Neurospora crassa OR74A: one gene and its partner. The protein of the gene in region 1 purifies or fractionates together with the protein of each later gene. This does not show direct contact. Links are inferred from orthologs where the notes say so. Each region holds a gene or a part of one and is shown on either strand. Other genes may lie near its edges.

Region 1 (4,064 bases):
CTAGTATCTGCCATCTGCCGGTTTCAATGCCCCTGGAAACGTGAAAATGAATGGCCCGGTACAACATGCATAAACACCAAGTCTGCATATACCTACTGATTACCTGTCACCTCTACAGCTGGAGTGAGTACCTCTGACAATGTAGGGAATGCGAAAACATGGCACACGCATGGATGGTTGATGCGCTTCATGATTTCCTCCATCCTCTTTGCTAGTTTAACTGGGTGGATGGACTCGAGATGGCCTGACGGGCTAGGCACTTCACTTCGGTACCTCTAGGCTGTCTTGCCGCGCAAACGTCGAGGGAGTAGGCAAGCAAAGACTGAGGTAACGACACAAAGACGATCACATCACGTAACAGGAAGACACAAGAGAAGAAGGCGTGCACTTTTCATGGAAGTCACGACAAGACTCTACAAACACCATGTTGGAAGCAAAGACAATGCGAAGTTAATCAACTGTCTATGTTGATATCTGATAAAGAAAAAAAAAGGTATCCTAGAATGATCAATGGCTACAGAAGTGGTGATGTGATGACCAGCTGCGCTCGAGACAAACAAACAACCCTCCTTTTGTGATAAGGAAAACTGATAGAAAGAGATCTAAACCGCTGTTTCCAAGGTATCAATAATCCCTTACAGAAACGAACCAAACATAAAAAACAGAAAAAGGTGCGCCGGTGAAAGAGACAATCAGACTCATTAGACTTCCCAACAACATATGCAAATGGTTTCTTGTGCTCGGGAGCGGGTGTACCATAAGACATCAATTTATTACACACAAAAACCTAACCGACATCTAAAAGCGAACCACACCAACCCCCATATACATGCTTTCCTCCTGATCTCCCGGGTATACAACAACCAACGAACTCTCCCTTCGCTCACTTGACTTGCTTAGAGCATGACCATGCCGGCACCAACGCCCATGGCGATGACGACGTACATACCAACGGCCATGTCGGCAACAGTGAAGAAGCTCTTCATGGCGACAGGGGCAGCGAACGAGGAGCTAGTGGCAGCAGCACCGCCGCTGGAACCATCGACACCACCGTTGCCGTGGCCAGCAGTGGCGGTGGCAGCGACCTTGTTGGCAGCCTCAGCGCTCTTGAGAGCGGCAGAGCAGGTAGGGTCGGCCTTGGCGGCACCGTTGGCGGAGGCCTGACCGTTGAAGTCGCAGGCGGTGGAAGCGTACTTCTGGTTCTTGTAGTACTGGTCCATGACGTAGCCGAGCTGCTGGAGGGAGTTGCACATGGCGTAGGAGCCGTAGACACCAGTGGAGACGTTACCCTGGATACCAGCGCAGGCAGCGGGGTCGTTGCCGCAGACGACACCGAAGAGCTCACCGTAGGCAGTGGGCTTGACATCCTTGCTGGGAACGCAGGTGAGGGAGTTGTACATGCACTCGCAGAGGCTCTCGTTGGGAGTAGGGGGGAGAGCGTCGCCAGTGACCTGCCAGTTGGAGGTGACATCCGGGCACTCGGCAGGCTCGTTGGCGGGCTTGTAGGAATCGAGTTCGACGGTCTTGGGCTTGGCGGCGAGGACGTTGGCCTTGAGCTTGTCGTAGTTCTTCATGGTCTTAGCGCTGTTGCCGGAAACCTTGACGAGACCATAGTCGTTGTCCTCCTCGAAGTACATGTAGACGATACCGCCAGAGAAGACGTCAGTCATAGCATCAGAGTAAAGGGCGGTGGTCTCCTCGAAGATACGGCCGTCGGCACCGTCGGGGATGTTGCAACCGTACTCGGCGAAGAAGACGGGGACCGAGTAGTTCTTGAAGAAGTCGATCTGGTCCTGGTAGCCGGAGCCCTTGATGGTGTTGTGACCGCACCACTCGTAGATGTTGTAGCCCCAGAAGTCGATGGCCTCGCTCTGGTTGCCGCAGTTGAAGAAGTGCGCCATCTCGGAACGGATCTTAGCGTCGTCGTTGGCGGCATAGCCAACACCCATCCAACGCTTGACGTTGTTCTTGATGTAGTTCTTGGAGTCACGGACAGCAGCCTTGACGTAGGCAGAAGCGTCGGTGTTGGTGGCGTTGTTAGAAACCTCGTTACCGGCGAAGAAACCGATGACGTTGCTGTACTTGCTCATCTCGTCGATAACGGCGGTGTAGCGCTTGTAGAGAGTGATGTCCCACCTGGGGTCGTCGCGGTTGATGGAGGTGGAGGGCTCGGACAAATCGCTGATGACGTAGATGCCAGCCTCGTCAAGGAGCTTCATGCAGGCGCTGTGGTCGGCAGTAGGGTCGATGGCGTAGGTACGGATGGCGTTGGTGCCAGCGGCGGCCATGATGGGAACATCACGCTTGCAGGCGGCCTCGTCGGCGAGGGGATCCTTGAAGGTACCCGTGGTTGTCTCGCCACCAGCGCCAGCAGCATCCTGCTGGTAGGCAATACCCTTGATGTAGAACTGGGTGCCGTTCTCGTAGAAGAACTTGCTGCCCTGTGGAATCGAGTGTGGTTAGCATTGGAGGCGCTTCGAGGGTGCGACGGTGGTGGTATGCCTACCTTCATGACGATGGGCTGGAGAGCAGCGGAAGCCTGGCCCGCAAGGGTGAGGCCCGCGACAATGGCGGCTTTAGAGGTAACCATTTTTGCTGTGTGTCAAAATGTTGATTAAAGGCGGTGTTCTATTCGGCGCAGAAAATGGATGAAGATACGGCGCAAAGTATCGATGTCGGGAATTATCCTCCAGCTGTTGGCCGAGTGTATCGTGTAATTATGTTTCCTTTAAAGAGTGTGGGAAGAGATAGAATGAAAAGAGGCAGTAGCGAAAGACCTCTATAATGTGTTCAGCCCCCTTCTATGGATGGATTTGGGTGGATGGGCAGGAGTGAGTGAATGGAGAGAAGATGGAGGAAATGGAAAATGGAAACAGGTCAGGACTTTGGGGGGGGGGGGGACATGCGGTGGAAAAAGGAGGAAAGAAGAAGGCGACGGAGATTGGCAAGCGTGGAAATGGAGACCAAGTTGGTCTGTGCGTCAGCTTGTGTGTGTCGTGGTGGGTCCGCTATTGGCCGGTCAGCCCGGTGGTGTGGTGGGAGGGGAGGGAGTGGGTCAAGAACCCCAGCAACCTACGGGCCCATCGATGTCTCCAGTCCGCTCACGCATGCCTGCTGCAGCAGACGGACGATGCAGTGCAGTGGAAGGGGCCTACCTACACCAACCTAAACAGTTGACAGCACAGACTCCAGTCGCGAAGAGTCGTCCAACTACCTTCCTATCATTGATGCGTCCATCATCACACTGTGAACCTACCTAATCTCTATGTCGCAGACCTCATCGGCCAACCATCTTGTTTTTCCATTCGGCAGCTTTCCAGTCAATGTTCTGGCCGTCAACATGTCTCCAACGCCACACGGCACCGTAAAAGATGAACTCGAAACCGACGGGTGGAGTCGTCTACATGGGGACTGAGTGGGTTTCGTCGCATGTGGGATTGGTAGTGTGTACATAATTCGTTTTACGCAGGGATGATCAGACATTGGGGGAGGAGTTCTGGATTCCTCTTTGCCCGGTTTCGTCGCTCATGTCTGGAGACACAGAAACACATTGAATCCAATGAATCGTTATTGATACGCCAACGGCCACAACACGGCTTCGTTCGATGCTGCCGGGATTCCATCAAAGTCGATGCAGCATGCACGTAAATCCCGTGTGCATATCACCATGTTGACCAGATTTAAAGGCCGTTGACCGCCCATCGCACCGTTGTAGTATCAGTGTGCCATCTTCATTTCGCCTGTTGACAATGTGTGGACTCGTCTCCAGAGAGGACCTACGTACCCTTTTTCTCTAGGAGGAGTCGTGGAAGCTCTACCGAACCTGGGGCAGACAAGCAGCATTGTGTGGACCAACCGAGGAACGGGCATTGAGCGACCGGCCCAGGGGGTTCGATTGTTTGGCTGACATCGATCGGTTCGTTCATTTTCTGGCGACCAAAGATTGAACCCTTCAAGGAGAAGTTCAAGGGAAGCCGATCGATGATCCCGATGGCACGTGACATGGCCGTCCAGAAGAGGAGGGAATGTCCGACGCCACTTCCGCCGGCCTGCCATTTCAAGCA
Region 2 (3,853 bases), on another chromosome or scaffold:
CTGTCGACTACGAAAATAATACCCTGGGTGTTCTGGAAGTAATGTCTCCACAGAGGCCTGATCTTGTCCTGACCACCGACATCCCAGACGGTGAACTGAATGTTCTTGTACTCGACGGTTTCGACGTTGAAGCCTGGACAAACATGTCAGTGAGCGTGCTCGCGCGAGGAGTGGGTCTGTGCCATCAATATGTACTAAGGGGGGGAGCATGGCGAGTGGCGTACCGATGGTCGGGATGGTCGTGACGACCTCACCGAGCTTGAGCTTGTAGAGAATAGTGGTCTTTCCGGCAGCGTCGAGACCGACCATGAGAATTCTCATCTCCTTCTTGCCGAAGAGCCCATCGAAGAGCTTTCCGAATATCGAGAGCGTGTTGCCCATCTTGGCGGTTGTGTATTAGGCGACGCTAAGGTTGCAAGTGTAGAAAACTATCTGTTTCGGCGGCAAAGCGTAAGCAAATGGATCGTTGGTGTGGCCGAGATGGACTGTTGAATGCTCGTCGGGGTGGTGGTGTTGAGAGGAAGTGTGCGATTGATGACAATGGGGACAACGGGTGGGCATTTAATGACGACGGCCCGCGTGAGGACAGATAAGTGGTGTCCGGCCATTCGCTATCCTCAGGCACACAACAGCATGCCACGGACAAGGTAAACCCGCAGGGCTGCGACGGGTAACGAACTGGTTGGCGTCGTTTGGCCACTCGACGACGTCCTTCACCAGCCAGAAGACACGCGTTCGAGTGCGAAGGTAGAGGCAGGCAGACACGGAATGGGAAAGCTGTGGCAGGCAGCGCCGATGGGATACCACGGAGGTGCCTTGCAACGGCGTGATTGATTCGCTGACTGCCAGGGGGGCCAGAGAAGGGGATCGTGACAAGCGACAACAATGATGGGGTACTTACTATGGAGGCTTGTCCTCAAGTAATGGGGACGGCGATGTTTGGGATGCGCGTCACCGGTGGCAGCAGAAATATGGTGTTGAATGTGGATGGTGGTAGGATTGATGGCGGTGTGCGGTGGAAGGAAGGCAAGCGGGCGAGAATGTGTCTCCGGCCGTCAGGTCTCTGCCACGGATTTTGAAAGTTGTTCTTGGGCAGGGCGACCGTTCCGACACCAAGTAGCCTGCCCGCCCGCCCGCTCTCACCCACCCACACACGGGTCGCCCACCTGGCATGGCCGCCTGGTTGCCCCCGGCGGATTTCCAAAGAACAGCCAGAGGGGACGACTGCTGGCTCGGTTGGGGTGGGTTCGAGGGGCCACTCCTCAGACTCCTTGGCTCTTGCATCCCCGCCATCAGAGCGTGCACGGCCCACCAGATGCCCTCTACTCAAGAGCTACCACTACACTACCTTATCTGGCCAGCCCCTTTTCGCCTGCATCAACGTCAACTCGGCTGAGCAGCACGCAGGAGCAACGAGGTACCTTGCTGGTACCCCTCCATCCCTCCTGGAAGATTACCTACCTTGAAAGGTCAAGTAGGGAAGAACATTGGACCGAATCCCTTGATGTTTTTGTCACAGTCGCTCGTCATTCGACACGGCACCCTTCTTCTCGGCCTACCCAGTCCCTTTGTGCTTCCAAGGTGCCATTTGGCATTGTTGATAGCCTCGAGCTTCACAAGCCAGTCATCCCCCTGGGGAGTCCTGGACCCCGGTACCCCGGCAACTCTGATAGGCCAGAGTCTCAGTTCATGCTGGGACACGCCAAGGCCAAACACCCGGACCTGGGTGCTCGCGGTAGCAGCGACAAGGAAAGGGGCCCCGGGCTGGGTGTACCTAGGTACTTCGCATGCATGCTGGCGGGACCCGACCTTGCGCCGCGCTAGGTACCACTCTGCTGCCCTGCCAGAATTGTGAGAGGTAGGGGTAATTGTGAATCGCCAAGTTGTCCTCCCAAAACGTCTCGCGAAACCAGAACGGAAGCTTCCATATCTTTGCTTGAATCCTCTTCAAACTCCACAGTCGCTCATCGCCATCCCCGGGAAATTCGTAAATCGGCCGCAATGCAGTTCCTCACAGCAGCTAAGCTGCTGCTCTCGGCCAGCTTGTTCGGCGCCGCCGCCGCTCACAACATCGTCCTTCCCGCCCACGGCCGCGAATGCTTCCACGAGAACCTCCATCGCGATGACAAGATGACGGTGACCTTCCAGGTCGGCGACCGCGAGTTTGGCAGTGCCGGTAATCTCGACATCGATTTCTGGGTGCGTCGTCCCCTTCGTATCACCTTTCCTCACGTAGCCCGACCGCCAATCTACTACTGTTCATCATCATCGATCTTCGATTCTTCGACCAGACACCGAACAAGAACCTTGCAAGAAAGAGACCTGCAACAGAGAAGCTAACAAGGGCCGATGCATAGATCACCAACCCCCTAAACCAATACGAGACCTTTGAAAAGTCTATATCCAACGGCGATTTTTCGTTCGAGGCCAAGCACGACGGCAAGTATGTGTATTGCTTCGGCAACGAGCATTGGGGCGCCAACACCAAGGAGGTTTCGTTCAACGTGCACGGCATCGTGTACATTTCCGAGGCGGACGCGCCCCAAGACCCACTCGAGGTTGAGGTGCGCAAGCTGTCAGAGATGTTGGAGATGGTCAAGGACGAGCAGAGCTACATTGTCGTGCGCGAGCGCACCCACCGTAACACGGCCGAGAGCACCAACGCCCGCGTCAAGTGGTGGAACCTGTTTATCGTTGGCGTCGTGGTGGGCGAGTCCCTGTTCCAAGTCTGGTGGTTGAAGAGGTTCTTTGAGGTATGTTGACAACTCTTTCAAGGACTCTGGCAGGAAGGGAGAGGAAGAAGAAGAAGGCTAGGAGACATGGCTAGGACTCAAGAGCTAACCCCTGAACTCCTGATCTAGGTCAAGCGGGTTATTTGAACTGGACCCCGATACTGCCTCCCCATCGGATGGAATACTCCCCCCCTCATCAATAACAACAACAATTTCATAATACTTAAGTCGCTTTATACGACAAGTTGCTTTGGGAACCATTCATATTTGGGCGCTTGGGATGGGTCAGCCGGATGGGGATACGAAAACAAATGATATGATAATGGAACTGCCTACTACATGACGAACGAAAATCTAGCGTGTCTCACGCATGTGAACCATGTAATCAAGATGTCCCGGGGAAAGATATCTTCCATTTCCCGATTCTATGTCTAATATTACTGCATGATGCATTGCCATCTAGGTCATATTCACCAACGCCACTCCCAACCTGTTCAAAGCTTCTCCAAACTCAAGACACTTGAGGCCAAAGCAGAGTTATCACTAGACATATCACCCAAACGCCGCTCAACGAAATAAACAAGCAAAACATTCAAGCAGATGGATCCGACTCTGGGATCGTGACCTTGGCCTCCTCCGCCTCCTGCTCAACCGGCAACACAACGTCCTTAACCGGATGCAACAGCATAGGCGGCAAACACATCCTCCCCTCGCCGCCGCGCATCGTCGACACCGTCTGGTCATCGGCGCTATTATCCGGCTTCAGCTCGAACTGCTCCCCACCGTCATTATTGATCTTGAGCCCCAACCACCGCTTATACAGGTTAGCTGAGAACCCGGCATTATAAAACCATGTCAGGCCCCTCATGTTATGCTCGCGGTTACCAAACACGGACGTCCTCGACCCGCCCGAGGCTCCGTTACGCCCGCCGTTGAGGATGTGCGCCATGTACTCGGTTGGCCACTCGCGGTCGACGAACAGAGGGTGAGGGGCAAAGACGGCCTTGTAGCCGTGGTGGAGCGCAACCGTGGCCGGCCACATCTCCGGGAAGGCATGGTGCTTTTTGAAGGCCGTCTCGCGGTGCATGGTAAGCAGCAGGCGGCGGGACATGCGGCTCGCA

Evidence for each region. Proteins that work in one complex are often made in the same cells at the same time.
Region 2: the proteins of gel-3 (region 1) and NCU08339 purify together in Saccharomyces cerevisiae (affinity purification with western blotting; 3 studies listed by BioGRID). This does not show direct contact. The link is inferred for Neurospora crassa OR74A from reciprocal best matches to the Saccharomyces cerevisiae genes GAS1 and EMP24.

Annotation. Positions count from the first base shown.
Region 1 is NC_026505.1:671,177-675,240, reverse strand, and holds gel-3 (beta-1,3-glucanosyltransferase), read right to left. Parts: upstream 2,917-4,064; 5' UTR 2,591-2,916; coding exon 2,507-2,590; intron 2,442-2,506; coding exon 897-2,441; 3' UTR 381-896; downstream 1-380.
Region 2 is NC_026501.1:5,695,241-5,699,093, forward strand, and holds NCU08339 (endosomal P24B protein), read left to right. Parts: upstream 1-1,482; 5' UTR 1,483-2,001; coding exon 2,002-2,199; intron 2,200-2,357; coding exon 2,358-2,753; intron 2,754-2,861; coding exon 2,862-2,879; 3' UTR 2,880-3,239; downstream 3,240-3,853. Other genes in the region: NCU08340 (ADP-ribosylation factor 1, variant), read right to left, coding at 1-133, 225-381; NCU08338 (hypothetical protein), read right to left, coding at 3,325-3,853. UniProt on the Saccharomyces cerevisiae protein: Constituent of COPII-coated endoplasmic reticulum-derived transport vesicles. Required for efficient transport of a subset of secretory proteins to the Golgi.